4 linked regions of the Drosophila melanogaster genome follow. The protein of the gene in region 3 interacts with the protein of the main gene of each other region in a pairwise test. Each region holds a gene or a part of one and is shown on either strand. Other genes may lie near its edges.

Region 1 (4,831 bases), on a different chromosome or scaffold from region 3:
GTTATATCGTTTCCACTATCTGGATCAGACAGGTCTTTACTTTTCGGTCTTTTTACATCGTCATAGGAGTCTAAGCTTTTGGTTTTTAAAGTATTATGCGAACTTTTGATAGGTTTTAGATCAGTATCTCCATGAAAGGCTCCACTAGCATCAAAACTGCCACCCAATTTCGATGGATTTTCAATTGCCCATTCGGGTAGATTTTCGTCGGCATCAACACCGGCTGCATTATTAACAGTCCATAATTGAGATATTTTAGAACTCGACAACCGTGGGTGCGATATGCTCCCTACTCCCTCTGCAGCTCCGATTCCAGATCCTTTATTGTTTCCAGTCCGATCTGTACTTAAAGTCGCAACTGTTGAAATTGAGCGTTGTAAACTAGCTGCATTGTCGACGCTAGGATCTTCATCACGCCAGCTTGTAGATCTTCCTAAAAAAAATTTTTTTTTAAGTTCTATACTGTTGTTCAATAACTTGGACTATTTAAATTTTAACTTGGTTCATCTTCTTAGCAAATATAGCAAACTTACTAAACAGAAAACCGCTATAGTCGAGCTATTGCAAAACTGTTACCCATTTAGTTAGATACTAGAAATGCAAGCGATATTCAGATATACAAGTAGGAAAGCAAATATGTCAGTGATTGTACACCTGATCCACATAGCGGCAGAACACTAACTCTTAATCACTAAGCACGACAAAAATTTTATAAATACATTATATATACAATTTATTATAGTATCCAAACTTCGATAGAAGATTACCGGGTGAAGAAGTACATTTTAATAAAGCGTAAAGCGTATCAAAGTGTAAAAAGTATATTTGGTTACGTTGTTATGTATAGGCAAGCCCATATTTGAATAGTTTGAACTGTTAGTTAGTTGGACTTTGATACATAACACTTAAAATGGGCTCGCGTTTTTTTATTTTTCAATTTTGATAAATCAAGTCTATTCTGGAAAAAAAAAGATCATTATTTGAAAACGTACTAAAGCTACCAGCGATGTACTTTAGGAATGAAATAAAAACAAGGCCTGATGCATTGCATAGAAATTACCATAGGGATTTCAGCTGGTCTATTAGCATTTTTGTTTAAATATTCTCATATAAAATACTTCATTAACTAAAACATTTAATCTTAATTTTAATATATTTATGAAAAGGTTTTTTAGAATACGTTTTAAAGAAACACAAACTTTACAACAGATTGTAGCATGAATGGTATCGAATGAATAGCCAACTATATAGGCTGGGGAAAGTTTTGGAAAGTCAAATTTACATGATAGAGATAGCAGTACATGTATTATTGTGCTCATATGTGTAGGAGTAAAAATGAAAAATAATAATATAAAGGTAATTGACTGACCCCACCGATGGCTATTGGTACCAAAACCTGCGTTTGTACTTCCACCGACGACACCGCTCCGCCAACCAGCAATATCGGGTCCGCTCATGGAACCGCTGGAGGATGGACCATCACCGGATCCATCTTCGTTACGTGTTCGTCGCCAGTTTTCCAAGTTGCGATGATTATTAGAATAATCTTTTCGAGGACTTGAGCTTGGAGTTCCATTCCAATCTAGAGCACCAGAGCCACTAGTGGAGGTGGTGGTTGCCGCAGAATCTCCAGTTCCGTTGCGGTCGCTCCATGTGCGTTCGGCCTGGCAGAAAAAATCAACAACTAATCGTACTTCCTTATTTAGTTCGTATTTGCAATTACCTTTGATATAACCGATAAGCTTTCATCATATAGACCGCTTGGGCGTTGGTATATCGGATGATAGGCCGATTTTCCGCGCATCCGTCCCCGGTCAACGGTTCCACCACGTCCAGAGCCTCGGGAGGCACTACCAAATCCACTGGGCGAGCGCTGCAACCAGGCAGGACGAGACTAGTTTCAAAGAAAAGTAAATTATGTTCTAAAACTCATGTCAAATTACTTCACATACGTTATTGCCAAGTGAGTTTTGGTTGATGTCCTCCTCGGAGCTCGGTGTCAGTGCAAGAGGGCACTGAACCTTTTCCACGAAGAGCTTTTTGAACGATGGCAGGATCTGCGGCAGTAGGCAGTTCCGATCGAACAAGGACAGCATTTCCTCGCGTCCGTACCGGTATTCTGGAAATAGATTACGGGAAGCGGATGCCGCCGTGTTGTTTCCCAGGTTGTGCCCTCCAATCGAATTGTTTTGAGCTGCATTACCAACGTTGTAGGTACTGGGAGAGCCCGAAGGCTCGGCTGACATATTGCGCAACCATTCCGGGCCAAATTTCATTGAATCTGTCATTTTTATTTGCCTCTTGTTTAATGTTATGCTGACAATAAGTTCAAAAAAGTTTTTGGTTGATTTATTTGTAAGAAAGGCAATGAAATCAAATTTTCAGTGTTTTTGTTAAACTCCTAATGGCTTTATGATTCTGTGCACAATTGTTTATTTTTCAAACAGTTCAAGTTCTATAAATAAAGCAAACAGCTTCAAGTCTTTTTCAAAGCAAACAGTACAACAAAGGATTTATTTTAAAGCTTAGTTAAGAACTAGTGATAAAAAAAAACTTACCAGAGCTTTACAGAATGGATAGTAAAAGTAAAATAATATAATATAAAAGCAACACAGAAACCTAACCTAAAATATCAAACTGATTGTCACACACGAACGCGAAATACACATGCACCCTCATCACACATTAAAATTAACATGTTTATAGAATTGAAATGTCTGATTCGAGCTTTCATGTTTGAAATATAGAACTAATAGAACTAATATAGATCTAAAAGGTAAAAAAAATTCGTAAGTATCTGGACGCATACAGACACACAGTGATGTATGTACAAATTTTTGATTTGTGTGACTTTATCACACTGGGCGGGTGTGTTTTATTTTAAAGATTGTTTAGTTAATTCTTCTGGTAATCTTAATAAAATCAAGCCACTATAACTGCACATCCTAAAAAAATTTTTTAAATTGAATTTCGTAAAAATATTCAACTTACACGTACCACCGAGATATCTTAAAATACCAACGCCAACATAAGATAGAGCAAGGCCAGCGTGGCCGTCTTGCGATATGTCAAGCTTCCAATTTAATTTAGCACAGGGGTATTCTTGCCACTTTTGCTTCTTATACACTAGCTCCACTACTACTAGTTGACAGATACATCACCCTTGTCTTCACATTGCAACATCAAGCACCGGGATTTAGAGAATGCATAAGTGTCAATCTTTAAATCAACCAATCCGTCTGTCTGTAAGAACGTCTCGCTTTCAGGAACTATAAGAACTAGAACTTAAAGCATGCTGATTCTATAGATATAGACGCAGACGATGTTTCCACGACCACTAACTATGTGTTGATTTTTTTCTTTAAGTTGAGTAACGGGAATTCTTGCTTTAATATTATTATTTAATTATTATCACTGCCAAAGCTAGATTCCTACCTTGTTGTTAGCTTTGTATTGAAACTTAGTCTTTCGGAATTGTTAATAATTTTATATTTAACAAGCAGTCGATTTTCATTTCAAGTTCAAGTTTTTCAGTATTATAACATAACAGTAGAAATAGTAAAGTGTAAGTAAACGATGTATTAGTTTATTTTGAATAAATATATAAATACAAATGTATATATTTAAATATATATATATATATATATATATAGTAGTGGATATATATATTTATATATATATATATAAATTTTAATATGGTTACATTATTTTCATAACCGTTTTCATAACCACGTTTGTCTGGTTTGATCCAAAATGAATACCTGGTTTGTGATTATTTTGGTCTTTTTACATAAGTCATGAAGTGAGGGGTATGTGTCAAAAATTTGCTGCGATGTATACGCACCCCTTTTGTCTTTTGTATAACTGTCTGTTCGTACGTATGAACGCCCAGATATTGGAAACGAAAATCGCCAATGGTGCATGTGATTTGTCTGAAAACGATATGACGCCCATAACGCTGATGCCCATGTTCTGAAGGATTTTCGGATACCTTAATCGTATAACAGCGAAGCTCGAGCGATCTTAATCTTTACCACGTTTCGAGGCAGTGAGTACATCTGAAATTTTGGCACTGTTCCCAGATCGGGCGCTTAACGCATCGCTTATAATGCTTTTAATTTAGCGTAAGGGTCATTTCAAAATGTAAACCAAAAACGCAGACTTCGTAACGAGACCTAAAGTCAGTTGCACCCGTTCTGAGCGTTCCTGCGTGTGGGGGAAAAAATATCATTGCAACAGCAGGATCTCAGCCTGCTCCAAGTTAGGAGTATGAGAAGGAATGGCGAGCAGTAGGCGAGGCTTCTCGTTATCTCGGCAAGGATGAAAACGGCTTCTAAGGCAGTTAAACTTTATACATATAATCTCCTACAGTACGTCGTTAACCAACGTGGAAAGGCCTTCAACACAGTTACAACGACAGGGTGAGTGCATAATATGTAAGCCTGATGTTGGTTCCCATTAAGTGCAAGATAAAGACAAATAAATATATATTAAATTTGAACCTCATAAGTAACAATGGGACGGTTATCCAGATTAGAGTTGATTGAATCCCCATATAATTCTATGGTTTAAGCTAAATTTCTGAACTATTAATTTTGTTAAGAAAATAGTGAAGTTCGGCACGCTGAAGTCGCCATGATACAAAAAAGATAAATATATTAAGAATGGAAGTAGTTATTTAATTTAGCTTTATTGTGCTATAATATTAGATCATGGACTAGAATTATAAGATTACTAGTATGCCTCCAGAAATCGAATGATATGCATATGGTGTAGGTGTTAAAAATATTTAAATAAACATGAATTTTGAATTTTTAAACATTTTTAAACA
Region 2 (7,155 bases), on a different chromosome or scaffold from region 3:
AGAAGAAGTAAACTGCTGACCGCCAATCATCCATCGAGGTTTAAGCTATGAACGTGTAGATTTTAAAGCAAAAACAGTTTTAGGCCCTATAATACAATACGATGCATACTGAGAATACAATCTAGTTCCTTTTGAACAGCTCCTTTTACATTCAATTCAAAGACAACGTTGTGTGCTCGGTCGTGTTTCCCCAGCGAATGGTCTGTCGCTCAGCCAGGAGTTCCGCACCCGGAAGCGGGAGCGGATCGGACTGTGACTGATCCGGACACTAATCGAACACACAGATTTGTATATATATTAAAGTATAACTAAAGCTAAGCCGGACTTCCTGTACGCGCCCCTTCATATTTGCAGTATGAAAATAAACTTGTCGGAATACAAACAATATTATTGCATTTTACTAAAGTGGGAGTTCGTTTTAAACGCTCTCTTACACTGATGAACTAAGTGGCAACTATAAATACTTATCTTCCCCGTTTAGCAAACATTCTTGAAACCAGGCATTTAATCAATTTCAGTTTTATTTCTCCCATCAATTCGTTACTCATCAATTGAAATTTCAGATTTGGTAATGCTAAAGGGCTATCATGATTGCAGTTCTATGAAGTGGATCAAAGCGATATCGGGAATGCCTTCAAAGATTGCGGGTCGCTGCTAGTAAATAGTGATCTCTAGTGCTTCTTCAGTGCTTGCTTAGTTCGGCGAGGGCATAACCTTGATGCGCTCGAAGGCTTGTTTCTCCAGGGTCTCGCGGTGCTTGGGATCGGCGATCTGGATGAGTTCGTACATCCTCTGGCGCACGTTCTTGCCGAACAGCGAGGCGATTCCATGCTCCGTGACGACGTAGTGGACGTGGGCACGCGAAGTGACGACGCCAGCGCCTTCCTTCAGCGTGGGAACAATCTTGCTCTCGCCCTTGTTGGTGGTCGATGGCATGGCAATAATTGGCACACCCAGTCCATCGAGACCCTCCGCCGCTCCGCGAATGAAGTCCACCTGTCCGCCGAAGCCGGAGTAGAAGCGGGGACCAATCGAGTCTGAGCACACCTGTCCAGTCAGATCCACCTCGATGCAGCTGTTGATGGCCGTCATGCGAGGCTGCTGTTTCACAATGCTGGTGTTGTTCACATAGTCGATGGCGTACATCTCTGAAAGGTGGACAGTGAGGCATTAGATCGAGCTCATATCCCATACATTTTCAATTCAACTTCAGTGTTTCAGAACTAAACCTACCGATGAAGGGATTGTTGTCCACGAAGTCATACAGAGCCTTGTCACCGATGAGGAAGGAGCCCACAATTCTGCCCTGGTGCATCTTCTTCTTGCTGTTGGTGACGCATCCCTTGCGCACGAGCTCAACGACACCGTTGGCGAACATCTCGGAGTGGATGCCCAGATCCTTGTGGTTGTGCAGGGCGGCGAGTACGGCGTCTGGGATGCTGCCAATGCCCATCTGCAGGGTGGCGCCGTCCTTGACGAGGTTCTCGGCAATGAGCTTGCCGATCTTCTTCTCCACTTCGGAAATCTTACCAGTTCCGTGCTGAGGCAGATCATCGGTCACCTCGATGGCGAGGTCGAAGTGAGACTTGTGGATGATGGCATCGCCGAAGGTGCGCGGCATCTTGGGATTGATTTGAGCTAAAGAAGGAGTAGCATTAGTCCCACTATAAATCATACAACTGACGTTCACGCAACTCACCCACAATGAGCTTCGAGTTGAGCAGCGCAGCGCGCACACAATCGACGCTGGTGCCGAGGGAGCAGTAGCCGTGGTTATCCGGCGGCGACACGTGGATGAAGGACACATCTGGCTTTACGATCTGCTTGTAGAACAGATTCGGGATCTCGTGAAGGAAGATCGGCACATTATCGCCACGACCGTCGGCAACAGCCTTGCGCACGTTGGCGCCCATGAAGAAGGAGTTTGAACGGAAATGGTCCTTGTACTCCGGCTTGGCGTACTCGCCAGGACCCTCCGTGTGCATGTGGCACACCGTGACGCACTCCAGGTTGTTGCTCTTTCCGTGCTTGGCCATCGCGTTCAGCAGAGCCACGGGCGTGGCGGCTGCTCCTCCGGCGAAAACCGTGTCACCTGAATGGAATGAAGGCGAGAAACCGCAGGTTTTATTACCAATATTTTTATTACGCACACGCTGCTAATCAGTCAATCGGCAGTTATTGTACACTTTAATCTATTCAGCAGGTCTTATCTAAAGATTTGCATGACATGCTATCCGAGCGCCTACAAATAATGCTTTTCAATATTGTCTAATTAAATTAGTTATGCTTTGAGTGTTCAATGATAACGAAATAACCAGGATTACTATCAGTTCTTGAACTTTATGATATCTTAATTTGAAGAGCGTGGCCTAATCCATTCAATGGAATCCTGAGCTGGCAATTAATGCACTTCGAAATAAAATAAGTTTATAATGTCGCTAAGAGAAAAACTTGTTTTGAAATTAGAACACTCTCTGATAATTGATAATAAAAAACATTCATATATATATTTATATTGTTATTAAAATTGTTATAAATAGTAATATAAACATTCTTTAGAGCTTTAATCAGCAAATAATGTTTCTCTAAGTCATTCATGGTTATTTACATATTTTTATTGCGCTGGTCATGCTTTCATTGAGACTATAAATTTGTTTCCAAAACGAATTGTTCCGAAATTCGGTAATTTTCTCTCTGATCATTCCACTTGCTCTCGAAAGCTTAAAAGCTATAGCTATACATACATACATTCATATGTAAAAATGTATATTAGTTAATAGGCAGAGTGATAATGCGAATGCGAGGAGTGGGAGCGCTTATTGCCCAGAAACGCGTGATAATGAATGTTTGTAAATAAATAACACCGGTTTCCCAGTTGGCATTACATGGCAAACATGTCGATTCGAGATTATAGTATAATATATAGATTTTGTCATTTGATTAACGAGCCAGAAAGTAGAAGCACATCAATTGATCAAAATGTATCTGATTGGGCTGTGTTACGTAAGAGAATTGTAGCTTTTAATCGGAACTTTGGGACGAATGATACTTGTATACTTGGTCTATAAAAATGTATAAATTTTGTATCTATTTAATACACATCTGAATTGCATCTCTAATGCAGTCTTAAGCACATGCAACATGTTTGGCCAATCTATTTTGGTCTCCCCCCTGAAGAGGCTGGCATTCCGAAGTTCCTCTGTATGAGGGAATAGAAAGAACCATGATGTACATTAAGTCGAACGAGCGAGCCCCTTCAACTGGGGTAATCATGCGATAAGTGCGATTCTTATCGGTAGACGTCTGAGCCACGTCGACACACACGGTCAAGTTTTCCGCGAGGCTTCACAATCAATTTATTTATTTATTTACCGTTACTTGAAAAGGCCAATTATGCATTTCTTACGCATAGGCTTAGTTAGCTAGTGCCTACTGTACCACTTATTATCTGCCAAAAACGTGCCAAACGAAAAAGTTTTCCAAATCAAATTACGTCGCAGATTTGGCATGGCTCGTGTTGGTGATTTTGGCTAAAATTAGAGATACCGATTTTGGGTGACGTTTCGCTGGGCGCTGCGATGTGCCACTCCCCCTCCAAAGACCCGCCCCCCTCCGCAATATCACCAATTTGCAGGGACCTGCTGATGAGATGCCGTAGAAGTGCTAAGAAATTGAGATTTAAGCGGGCGCCGAGGGCGTGTCCACATATTTGTTTGCATCTGAATCCCAGGAGACTCGCCTCCAAATTGGGACAATTGAATTTAATCAGAGCAGAGGGTTCCCAAAAATCAGATGACTGGTTTCGTTAAACGAACATATACAAATTATCTAACAGATTTATCGTTTTGATAAGAAAGCTTGTTAGGAATTAATGAATATTTTTCGAAGCACTCCATTCATGCTTTTGTTTCCATAATTCACCTGCTGATACACGTTGCATAACCTTGCCTTCTTATAGAGGTGCTGCTATATACCATAGTATATGGTATATAGGTTCCTACAGAGAGCAGGCCTTATCAGCACCACATCCAGAGGCCGGCTGACTTGTTTATGAGCTACATACAAGGTTGTTCTTGCCACCAAGCTGAGCTTTGCATCGGACCTTTCTCTTCTTTTTGCCCGGGGTACAAAGTACAACTTGGCTGGAAACTCATCTATAGCGCCGAGTATACTCGTATGCATTATTAAATGTGTATAAATATCTACATATGTACGTGGTAGGGGCACGCACAGCTGGTTTCACGCGATTAAATGAATATAACTTACAGTTGTGCTGCTGCAACACCAGGAATTACGAATAAAAACATGGGGTCTACTGATAGCCGCCACAAGGAGGATAGCATTTTGATAAGGGCAGCTACTTGAAGTGTGATTTCCCTATTGTATAACTCCCCTAACTATTTATCATACTAGAACCCCAATCAACTAAAAACCTATTCCCTATCACAAGGTAATACAATACACTAAATATTTGATTCTAACTTGTGTATTATATATCCCCACGAGTGGCTCCTAATCACGGTCAATTAAATGCCAGCCATCCATATACCCAGCACCCTGTGAGTGCCCTTCCCTATTTACGTACATATGTACGTATGTACATGCATATGTGCTCCAAAGTAGTTTGGATTGCGGGCACACATGGGCTTACATTTGCATGGCCCCACAACCCGGTGTTCTCGTTTTCATTCTGTTTTCATAAGCAAGCCCACTAGAAGGTTACATAACCGAAAGATTGCAAACAGCGCAAGGCAGCGATAACTGGGAGGCCAGTTCCGCTAGGACGGTGGAAGGGGGGGCGTGGCGGGCTCCTGGCCAAATGATATGGGGGCCAGTGGGACTCACCGGATTTTACACATGCCACGGCCTCTTCCGGCTTGACGATTGGAGGCTCTCGAGCGATGGGATGCGACAGCTCCCGCACGTAGGTGAAGTAGTTGTTGTGGGCGGAGACCGAGGAGGCGGTGGCCGCCGTCTTCAGGAGGCTGTTCAGCTGGCCCACATGGCGCGCCAATTGTTTGCTCATGGTGGACTGTGTAGTGTAGTAGTGTGTACTGAGTACTCTGTTGTAGGCACGCACGTCGCAAAGGGTTAAGCGAGAAGTCCGCGAGATGCAGGAGGCGATGAGTGGTGGGTTTTCACTGGGGAGAGACTGCTGCGCTGAGTTCCGTCCGCTGCGGCACCAAATTTGCAACTGGTTCGCCAAGCAAAAACGCCATAAAAGCTCCGCGGCGAAAGCTCTCTTCCACCGATCGCAATTTAATCCCGCCCAGCTGCGGCCTACTCCTCTGCACTTCGTAGCACTCACGTAGATGTACTCATTTGATTGTTTAATGTGTTCCAATGTGGTAAGGAATTTTGAAATCTATTGTTTCTTTCCACATTTTATTTTGATATTTCAAAAACTACCAGCTGCCTGTGTTGAGCAACGCACGGGCAGTTCGATAATACCGGCTATCGATATTTATCGATTGTTGGTGCATTTGGCGCCACTTTTGAACGCTGATAAGTGCAATTCTTAGGCGAATGAAACACATTGTTTTGGTTTTTAAAGTCTATACTGGTAGAGCATTTACTTGGCGTTTATTCACTAGGATTATTCGTTCGATTAATCAAAATTCCTAATACATAAAAGCGCTTTGGACTAACGATTAAAAAATAACAAATTACATTAGTTCCGCGTTAATATCATAAAAAGACCTTATGTGATGTATACAACGCAATTCCTCTATGTACAGGCTTAAAACGTAGGCTCGTAGATATATCAAAAGTTTGATCTATGATGTATTATAGCGCATGTGCTGTAATACATTGCTATGACTAGTTTATGCGATTTGCTGCCTCTAGATCTAGACTCAAATTAATTGGCCGCTTGCGAAACGGCTTCGGCACAATCTGGGGATACGAGTTAGTACATATGTATGTATGTGTATGGTCTATCGCTAGTATTCGTAGGTTTAGTTTCTGGTTTCAGTTTGAAGGATTGCCGCCCCGTCGCTTGGAACTCTGTCGATCTTTGGATCTGGACGGAGCCTAAACACTTCCAGTGATGATCGACAAACTGAAGGGCGAACGGCACAAGATTGGAGGTTGCAACAACACGGCGATTCCAATTGAATGTGTGACTAGAGGGTTACTTATAGTATGAGTTGTGCAGCGCCGGAGGCGAGGGTCTTTGGGCTTCTGGCTTCCGGTTTCCGGTTTCCGGCTCATGCCTTCTGGCTTCCGGCTTCTGCCTTCTGGCCTTTGATTATTTTCGGTTAGTTAGCTAATGCAGAGTACTTGCTGAATGTTCGTTTACAGTGACTAAGACTACTGCTTAATAATCCTACTTAGATAACGCTATTAGCTAGGCTTCCTTGCTGCTGACTGATTGGTTTCCATTCCGTGGGCTCCCCGGCCTTACCTCGTGGCCAGCGTCATGTTGAGGCACAGCTCGTGATCCCGCATGTCGCCCCAGCCGCCGTTGCCTTTGCGCAGCTTCGACTTCTTCATCAGACTGGGCACCGTGAGGGTGAGGGAGCGCGGGAAGAGCTGGTGCGAGTTGCGGGCTATGCGCAGCACGTGCTGCACCTTCGAGATCACCTGGTTGGACTCGCAGTTCTTGTTCTTGTGATGAACGCCGCTGGAAGGGAGGAGGACACGAATTACTATGGCGCTCCGTTGGACGACAGGGGTCCACATGCTCACCATTCTCCGATGTGGAAGACTCGCGGCCCCTTGACAATCATGGCGTGCAGCTTTCGCCGCAGACACTGCTGCGAAACGTGCTGCAAGGACCAGTCCCAGTTGTAGTCATCGTAGGTGCAGAAGTGGCGGGCGCATTTCCGGATGTTCGACCAGGTGGTGCGATTGAAGGCGAAGCCCATGTTGTGCTTGCTGCTGACCCAGGGCATGACCTCCACCTGCCGAAGAGAAGAACCAGGTCAACCAAGCACAATGCACAAAATAATGGGGCAAGCAACAATATAGAAAACGGATTAGCAAAAGGTAAGGTTGGGGGTGGAGTGGAGGCATGCAAATTTCAAATTTCCGCGTCGTTCGGATTCCGCTCTCCACGGGCACTTGCTCCGTCTTCGTCCTGGACTAACCACTAGGCGGATTCAAAGTGCTTAAGCCGGATTTGCGGGGGTGGTACAGTGAGTACAGTGCGCG
Region 3 (4,719 bases):
AGCGAATGCGCCACTTATAGGGATATCTGCTTAACTCGTTCTTTATCTCTGTTTACGCCCAGAGTTTTCCGGCAGCAGAGCAGCTGGGAAAGCTGAGGCTGATTGTCAATTTGCGGAAAGCGGGGCGAGGAGCTCGTCCACTGCGCACTGCCCTGCCCGCCTCCACTTCCATTCCCGATCCCAATCCCAATGCCAATCCCAGAGGCACGGGCACAGACTCCCCGCCGTTGTTGTTTGCAAAAATAGAATTTTGTCTCTGATTTTAAGTATTTCGCGTGAAAAGTAACAGAAGCGACCCGAACGGCACGGGCCAGACCAACCACACTATACTATACTACACTATGCCATACTATATAGACTATAGACCAGACAAGCGCCCCAGACATCGCAGGAGGATGGAGGATGGGGGATGAAGGACGGGGGGACGGGCTTGGGGATTGCCAGTCAGAGTCAGAGTCAGTGTCTCTCAATTGCAAATTTATGTGAATTGAGTCAATTTTATCGCAGCCATCTAGGGAGTTAGTTTGGGTTAGTTTACTTTTGACTTGTTTGTCCCTGGAAAACTTTGCGTCGTTTGACTGGCGTAAATCGAACGACTGGAGCCACTTGAACTTGTCGCTGCCAGCGGTTATCCTTTTCTGGCTTCCTCCTCCTCCTCCTCCTCCTCCTCTTGTCACTCCTCCTGTCCTGCTGCTCGCTCGTGCTGACCAGCTGGGTTCGCCATCTGTGGATTATTAGCTCGCCAATGAACGTGAGGGCGGCCCAGCAGCTGCCCACCACCAGGATGAAGAAGGGTCCCTTCAGGTGCTCCGTGGTCAGGACGATAGCCGTTTCCGGGAACTGGGGGCGCATCTTGTTGATCCTGTTGAGGTACGTGTTGTTGTACCTAAAGTCCGCGTCGATCTTCTGAAAAATGCCCACGTCGCGCATGAGGCGGATGATGCTGTTCATCTCGAAGAGAAAGGGGAATCCCGCCTTCATGATCATCTGCACCGGACTGCTGAAAACGTTGTTGGGAAAGGCGTATATGACGTCCGCCAGGGGACTCTGCATCGTGTACATCCGGTTGCTCAGGATGCACCGCTGGCCCCACTTCACCGCCTCCAGGTTCTTCGATTGCGGAATGAACTCCGGCGAAATGTTGTATCCGTTAAAGATCCACATGTCGTCGTCATTCTCGAACCAGTCGCGACTCTCCTCGTGGCCGCCAAACGGAATACCCGCGGCCACCACTTCCGTCAGCTCGTCCAGCTGGTGAAGGTAGCCGGGATCCTGGAAGGTGGCTATCATCTTGGACGTGTATGTAGCCACCACGTTCAGGCCATACAAAGTCAGGGCCATGAAGAACAGCCTCGTCGTCTCGCAAATGGGTCGTTCCTGGACGGCTATCGATATGGTGACGGCCAGGGCATTAATGGCCGTAAGACTCAACTGTTGGTAATACTTCGGCTCCGGAAGAATCATAACCAGGGTGAACCAGAACAGCCAGCTGATTATTAGAATCAGGATGAATCCAATCCAGGTGTAGGCTTCGAAAATACCCACCAACGCCTGCCAGGCGGGTCTTCTGTCGGCCATTTTTATGTACCACGTGTGCGCATCCTGCAGATAGGTATCGGATCCCCAAAAATGGTCCGCCACCTCGTTGTCCGGATAATAGCCGCCGAAGACAAAGTCGCACTCGTTGTTCTGGACTTTCCCCAGTAATCCAGTCCAGTTAGCTGGGCCATCCATTTCACCACGTGACTCCAGGCTGCAGGTTTGGTTTACCTTACCAGTGGAAAATAGGATAGTTGTTAGCTTAGCACAATAAGCAGGACTTTTGCAAGCCAAGACGATCTTGAAGTATGAAAGTGTTAAATACTCACATCGAATTTCAGTCGATTTTTCATGAACCCCAGGATCCTCATCTCTAGTCCCAGGATACAGTCGGCCTCCACAAAGGGAGCAGAGATGGAGGAACAGGCAAAAAAGGTGCAGTTCCTGGGACTGAATCCTGATACGTAGTCCTGCATGGAGGCCTTAACGACAGCATTATTGGGGTAAAGTTTGCCATCGTGGCACTGGCCCACGCTCTGGACATTCAGAATCCTGCAGTTTACATTGCTGTAGTAATCATTGACCAGCAGATTGTAGTTCATGGTGGAGTTGGCATAGAGAAGAGCAACTCGGTGCACGTAAAACATTTCCATGAGGTCCTTGAAAATATTGGAGGCTACGCCAAGCGGTCGATTCCGACAAGTCGCATTATGAAAGAGCACCAGAAAACGCGCTCCTGGATTCCAGGATCGCATTTCGACAATTTTTTTCTTCATTAGCTCTTTTAATCGATCCACCGAGTCCACCACTATCACATAATTGTCCGCTAGGATCAGCTCTCCCTTGTCTTCGGTCCCATTCGTGATGTTGTAATCACTGGCCACGCGCATTTGGAAGAGTTCCTCCCTGTCCGGCGGCCCTGGATTCGTGACTGCTTCGTTGATCAGTTTGCTGAATCCTTCCTGGATCTGATCCGCCGGACTGGACAGATGAAAGGCGTGCACCAGCATCAAGTTATAGGCTCTGGTGAAGCGCTCCTTCGGGTTGCGAAAGAAGAAGATTTGGGCGAAGCTATCGAGGCAGCCCACTCCAGCCTTCCACACATCGGGACCCAAGTCCTTTTCGGGCAGCATGAAGATGACCGTGTTGGCCGTCTCATTCGAAAGATTCACTATCCCCTGGCACAGGTTTAAAATCTGCCCCAGAAAGATGATGATGATGAGACCCGGATTATTACACCACATTATTGCTTCTGTCACGTCGGACAATTGCGAATTAACTGCGGCTGGTGTGAGTTTCCGTGGGAAGGTGATGTGACTGATGTCCTACATTTGATTGCTTGGGTATATCGGTTTGGGGTCTGGAACAGTATTAACACTACACAGTGCCTCTGACTGATCCATCGCAAATCGCTGTAATATGATAATCCGTCCATTAAACAACCACTGCTGGCTTGTAAAAGTGCATTAAGTCATTCTGGAGTTTCGCGTCCGGAAGCGCATTCAACTTTCGCCTTTGGCCGTTGTTTGCCTTGTATAATTGACTGCTGTCAGCGTGCCGACAACGAGGATGCCCCCAGCAACAATAATAACAACAGCAGAAAACAACAAACAATCGCCATTGCAACATGCAAGGCTTAAATTAAAGCAAATATTTGCTCAGTCGCAGCGGCGCCACCGCCAACAATGGTCGAAATGCATTAAAACACTCCATCAATCCGAACCTTTTGGCAGGGCGGCCAAAAATACGACGGACTGCATGGTATAATGGCTATATGGCTATGTGGCGCACCAACTTCTGTTCGCTCGTCCGGATTGCGGGGGATGATGACGAGGAGGATGGCCCATGGCGTTGGCCGGAAGTAGCCGGTCATAAAAATAAAACTCGAGATGGCCGACCATCTCGCCAAGTCAATGAGTCATTTGCTGCAATGGAATGGCCATCCTGTCCTGCCCCTTTGGAAACTGCATCCTTGCCAGCTCGAAGCTCCCTGTTTCCCTGTGTCCATGTGGGTGTATCGGCGAGCTCATTTGTCTTAGCAGTTTGTCATTAGAAAAATTGCTCGTAAATTTCGCATTTAATTACAATACAAGAGCCAGCAAATTCAGCAAAGGGCCAGTGCCCAGGGGACTTGAGCGCAATCTTTGGCTGCAACAAAGTTGCAGCGGCATCAGCGAAGATGGATAAACAAAGTTGGCGAAAGGACAAGGATAGCCGAAGAGGGTATACCCTTTCGGATGCCCCGTAATTAAGCCAACTTGTATACCAAAGGTGATTTAAAAGTATGCAGTGAGAGATACAAAATGAGATTCTTTTTGACACCATTGTTATTTCATTAGTTAGTTAGTTAGTTATTGTTAAGTTAAGTTATAAGTTATAAGTTACGACTTATCTAACCAAGCTGATCCTTTAGTCAGGGAGGGTATGGCCAAAAGCCGCTGACTCATTTGGTTCAGTTCGGCTCAGACAGGCGGCAAAACAAATTGCGTGTGATAATTTAGTGTCATCATTTTTGACAAAGGGCGTTAACAGCTCACTTACTCCGCCCCTCGAAGAGCCGCCTTCATCTCGTTCTCCGTCTTCCAGATTTGTGCTGAACCTGAACGACTCGACGCCGCTGACGATTCGCTTTTCGGCGCCCGTGGGCCGCAAGATGTACTACAATCAGACAGGTAAGTCCGCCCCTTTGAGGAGCCGCATACCGCCACCAACCGCCACTAACCCGCCACCCAACCGCCTCTGCAGGAAACCCCCTTCGGCCGGCGGCAGTGGCACCTGGGCCAGGTGTGGCTGTGGGCAGTCTGGTGCTGCCCTGCGCCCTGCGTGGCCAGTACGACCTCTTCGTCCTCGCCCGCCACTCGGGAGCCCTCAAGGTGGACGCCCTGGCAGAGCATCCCCAGCACGACTGGCCCCTCCTCAACGCCACGCACCGAATCGCCATTCGCACCCAGAATCGCGTGCGGAAGCGCGAGATGATCGTCAAGTGGGAAAGGAGGTGAGATCTAGATGATTTTATTACACGGATATACTTATAACTTATGATTATTCAAAATCGTTTCAGCAAGTTTGATTTCCATGTCATGCACTATTGCCTGGTGATTCAGAGACTCTCCATGGACACGCCGCGGATGATCTTCACCAACTTCTGCCAGGCGGTGTCCGCCTACACGGACCAGCAGC
Region 4 (4,906 bases), on a different chromosome or scaffold from region 3:
TCCAAGAGTCGGGTGAATCCGGAGAGGCTGCCGACCACCTCATTGTCACCAGTGCCCCAAAGGCCCAGGCGATCGCGCTGCGCGTATTTATCTAGTTTCGAATCGGGTTTGCTCATCTTGTCTTCCAAATTTGTTTCGCTAGTGGAGCTGTATGAACGTAGTTGCTGTTGTTGTTGCTGTTGCTGGTGGTGAAGGGCGTGCAAACTGCTCTGCAGCTGATTCCAGTGGTGTCGCGAGGATAACGATAACGGCAGACCCTTGGGCAGTTCCAAATCGGTGGCTAAGGCTATATTACCCGGATTCGAATCTCTGTCCCTATGCGTTTCCGTATCCGTATGCGGCGATGTGTCCACTTCGGCGGCACTTTGCGTTGTGATTCGTGTCGTTAGTTTTGCGAAATTGGAAAGTTCGTATTCGAGTGTGGTTGTCGTTGTGGTCGTATGATTTTTACACACACGACTACTACAACAGCTCTGACTCTCTCTCTCATGGCTATTGTTGTTGTTGCTGTTGCTGTTTCTCTTCGTGTAACAGCCGAGCTCGCGCTCTTTGCCGCGACTATATGAGGAAGGACTCTGCGAATTGTTGGCGGTGGGATAAACCGGCGTGCTGAGGGAGAGAGAGAGAGCAGACAATATGTGAATGAATGTCAATGCGGGAGTGACAATAACAACCAATTCGTCACCAACATTCGGATACTCTTTCTGAAAGAACCGATGTTAACATTTTTAATTGAATTTTAATCGTACACACTCCACGTTCCCACACTAACAATTGTTAATAATATATATATTACATTTTAATAGTATATATATCTTATTTGAATAGTATATTATATAACAGTATATAATAATATATGAATTTCACCATAAAAAGCTTTTTGTAATAGCCAAAAAGTCGTAGAGCAATAAAATGGTATTTAGGGTTAAAAGAGGCCCTTAAAGGGTGGGTACTCTTCGTTTCAGATTCCTTATCAAGGTTTTCAGAACCTTTGAAATGCGCTGATATGTTTGAACGTATGTGCATGGTCATATGATGAGGCGATGCATCGCAGACACGCCTTCCAGATGGAAACCGATAAGTGGTGCCAAAGTGACACTGATTATTGCCAATTCAGAAACACACCCTCTTGATCTGTGGTCCAATCGTATGACACCACATTATACTTGTTATTCTGAAATTCTTGCATTCGACTCACGGTCCAAAAGTTTTTCTGATACCAGAACAGCGTCGTAGGATCGAGTACATGGCGGTGCTCTTAAAAGTCTTCTATATTATATACTTATTAGTATATTGATTTGCCGACAATTATCTCACTGAGTATTTGACTTTTGTCTGCGTTGCTGCAGCTTTCGTGCTGAACTGAACCGCAGTATTCGATTTGTTTTGCTACCACCATATGTATACACTTTGCGATTTTGTTTTGTTTCCGCGCTCTTTGGCTCTTTCTCTCCGATTAGTTTCAGTTGTGTGGGGTATATCAGCTGACTGATAAGGGCGGTGCAAACACTATCTGCACATATAAACGCCATTAAACAACGATTATTACCATCAAATCATTTGTCTGGGACCTGGAAAACATTGCGATGCGGCGTGAATAGCATGCGAAAAGTTTCCGTGAGAACAGCAGCGGTCGAAATAATAGTATTCAAATTAGACTATAGAGTATTGCAGTTAGCAATTTCTTATCTACTATTATTTATAATCAGTAGCTTTGATTTTAATGTAAACTTAAGTACAACGTGCGTGCATTACTTGAATTAAATAAACCGAACCTTTTCTATTAGAGATTATTAGACTCGATGGCGTTAAATATAAACCAATAATACCTCCTGAACTTGTGGCATCTGACTAAGTATAAATTATTTAAAGAGACGCCTCAAGGTAGAAGCCCCAAACCCCAACCTTAACCTTCAGTGTCCCGAATCGCTTCAGTTCCCGCCCCACTTTGCACTTGACTCACTCATACGACCGGTGGGCCCGTTCCGCTTTTGCTCGGATGTCTGTTTGATATATTCAATTATTACACAAAAATTGAAAGTAAAACACGGCAGGCGAATAAATTGGAATATATCACACATGTTTGTGTGTGTGCCCGAGCAACCTTCATAAATATTAACAATTTACTTCAGCTTTGCCAACGAATTACATTTTCCAAGTACCTTCGTGAGCAAAACACACCTGTCGCTCTAACTTTTTTTTTTCTTTTTACTTCGAAAATCGTTAATTAAGAAGGTGGTGCTCTAATTTTTTATCGATGGCGTGTGTCAGAAGTTATTCTTTTTTATCGCAACGCCGACGAGTCGCCTGTAAATCGTTGATAAAACACTAGTAAAACGAATCATTGACCACTAATGACACCTCGAGAAACAAATTATTGGAGGGGCGGGGCTGAGGGCGGTGGCTTGGCTTGCATTTGCACAAGAAAAAACTTGTAGTTGCAGGAAAGGATCTACTTAAATATATTAAGTATCGAAACAAAAAATGTTAAGAATTTGTAATGGTTTTTTATAAATAACTTTTTTATGTAAAATATAATTTCCTAATCTTTCAGTTATTAGTTTTTAGTAACAATAAAAATAAACAAATTAATTACAAACATGTTTGCGCATTAGTAAACACAAACTCTTTGGCCAACTCTCGCATTTTCGAAATCCTCTTTTGCCAATCGCTTGAGTTCAGCTTCAGTTTGTTCACTTTTCCATTTCATTTCTTACCCATTTTCATCGAAATTTGTTATGACATTGCGATCGGCGCAAATGGAACTGGAATTACCCATTTTGGGTTCTAAATTTCAGTTAAATTAGCTCCAGTTAAATAGTTATAGTTAATTATTTGGTAAACGCAAAACTTGTGAACTTTTCTAACGCGAAAATTAACTCAGTTCGCTTGACCACGCGATGTTTCACCGGAATTATTAAAAACAGTTATTAACAAAAATTAAAAAAAGTGTATTTTGAGCTATTGCGCTTGACTTAGCAACTCCGAACCGCCTGAAACTGAATCAAAAACTGAACTCGCGCTGAAATCGCGGCTCTGCGAACACCGGAGGCAACTTGCTAGCAGCGGGCGGCCCAAAGGAGAAGGAGAAGGAGAGTGTCCGGTGCTGCCCTCCCGCTCGCACCCGCACGCAGGCAGCACGCGACATTTGCTCCACTGAGTCACTTTGGTAGGCCCAGACGGCTACAGTGGCCCCTCGCTAAAAAGGATGAAATCTAAAATGCATTTTTAATAGGTTTTTAGTTTATTTCTTATATAAAAATCAATAACTTTAAACACTATTTAACGTTGATATTAGGTAATCTGCTGTTTTATTTAACTATAATTTGTAAATTTTTATGCTTTACAAAAGGACTATACAAAAATGGGTTTGTTTGTATTCTCTTTTTAATTTTAATCTAGCAAGACTTTCATTTCGGGGTTTCACCGTATTTGATTAATCGTTGCAGCCTTAGAGAAGCTTTGGCGCTGAGTTGTACTTCACTTGGAGTCACACAAAACCTGAGCGGTTGGTTAATCGCAGTGACCTCTGGGCGGCACACACAAATGCATGAAGCAATTTGTTGCTGGCCAATTAAAAAATAATAATTTCAGCTTTCAAAGAAGGCAACTCGATTGCTGACCATCGCGTCCCAGTCGGCTGCACTTGGCAAGTGGCGAAGAAAAATTTATAAATCCAATGAATTCCGGGTCATTTCAAATGCACTGAGTTGAAACGATGGGGAAGGGGACTCGGTAGTCGGTGTGGTGGATCCTTAGGCTTTTTTCGCCTTTTGACTCTGATTTTATCACCTAATGATTTTACCGCTGTTTCATTTGTCGCCTGGGTGGCACTCGAATTTTAATTAGATTTGCTTTATTGCACTGCTGTCTGTTGAAATCATAATATATATTGCACTAATGTTCAAAGATCTTGTTCAATTGTGCAAATATGACACACATTAATTACTGGGTTTGGTTTGCTATATCGAATTTATTGTTGAAGTGTCGGCTTGTGTTTACTGTCTAAAATTTGCGAAAGTGTCGTATGAAAAGTTGCAACACGATTTCAATTGCTGCCAGGGTCAATTGTAATTTCAGTTAAGTCAGTAAAAAAAAACCATACGGCGGAATCGTGGCTGCATTAATATTGGTATTATCGACATATACGAGAAAATTGTTGGATTATTGAAGTAAAGTGTGCATATAAAACTAACAAAGAATGTCGCTATACCATTATTAACTTATCTACATATGTATTTTAAAAACCACAGATAACATCGTAGTTTGTTAAAATTTCGATTCATTCTATCTAGTTCATACAATAGTGACCACGAAAGTATCTTAAGGAGGCCAACAATAACAATGATTATACAAGCGAAACTCCAAAAAATACTAAAAACCACTCCGAATGGAAATTTCCAGTTAGAAATTTTTATAATTTATATTTTTTTAAATTCGTTTAACAGAACCATAAAACCTAGCATTGCAAAACATTACTGATAAGTGATAGTTCGCTTAAAATATAATAGATGGCGCTATCGTTAAGCTCTAGATTTGGCCGTTAATTTTAGGCGCTACTGTTAATGTAATAAAAGCTTAAAAGCTTTGTTTGCGTTGGAGTGTTCATAAATAATAACAGATGGCGCCAGCTGCAGTTCTGAAAACGACCGTTATTTATCTATGATTAACGGTTTCTTTTGTATTATACAAATACAAATAATAATAATAATTGTAACAATAACACCTTTTGTTATGAATTACATTATTTCACCATAAATTGGTGGGTCAATTTAGGAATGCATGTTTGTAACCTGCGTTAGAAAATAAAATCAATGACCAATTGATAGTTTGCCATTTTATAATACAACACTCAAACCGCGCGATTGCTATTTTAGAGGTGTGTCAGCTGATTTTCCGAGTCCAG

What was found.
Region 1: the proteins of Ir60a (region 3) and Gyf interact in a two-hybrid assay, tested with the Drosophila melanogaster proteins (one large-scale study listed by BioGRID).
Region 2: the proteins of Ir60a (region 3) and CG7920 interact in a two-hybrid assay, tested with the Drosophila melanogaster proteins (one large-scale study listed by BioGRID).
Region 4: the proteins of Ir60a (region 3) and Men interact in a two-hybrid assay, tested with the Drosophila melanogaster proteins (one large-scale study listed by BioGRID).

The regions. Positions count from the first base shown.
Region 1 is NC_004353.4:863,979-868,809, forward strand, and holds the start of Gyf (gigyf), read right to left. Parts: upstream 3,048-4,831; 5' UTR 2,998-3,047; exon of another isoform or gene 2,992-2,997; intron 2,317-2,991; 5' UTR 2,289-2,316; coding exon 1,953-2,288; intron 1,895-1,952; coding exon 1,724-1,894; intron 1,665-1,723; coding exon 1,370-1,664; intron 434-1,369; coding exon 1-433.
Region 2 is NT_033777.3:30,009,970-30,017,124, forward strand, and holds CG7920 (uncharacterized protein), read right to left. Parts: upstream 5,316-7,155; 5' UTR 5,027-5,315; coding exon 4,846-5,026; intron 2,093-4,845; coding exon 1,700-2,092; intron 1,639-1,699; coding exon 1,234-1,638; intron 1,149-1,233; coding exon 694-1,148; 3' UTR 507-693; downstream 1-506. Other genes in the region: Nlp (nucleoplasmin), read left to right, coding at 1-11; Mgat2 (mannosyl (alpha-1,6-)-glycoprotein beta-1,2-N-acetylglucosaminyltransferase), read right to left, coding at 6,403-6,625, 6,691-6,905.
Region 3 is NT_033778.4:24,248,521-24,253,239, forward strand, and holds Ir60a (ionotropic receptor 60a), read right to left. Parts: upstream 2,784-4,719; coding exon 1,869-2,783; intron 1,771-1,868; coding exon 535-1,770; downstream 1-534. Other genes in the region: nord, read left to right, coding at 4,126-4,211, 4,285-4,534, 4,601-4,719.
Region 4 is NT_033777.3:12,719,419-12,724,324, forward strand, and holds the start of Men (malic enzyme), read right to left. Parts: upstream 3,025-4,906; 5' UTR 2,780-3,024; coding exon 2,718-2,779; intron 1,367-2,717; exon of another isoform or gene 1,249-1,366; coding exon of another isoform or gene 1,199-1,248; intron 610-1,198; coding exon 1-609.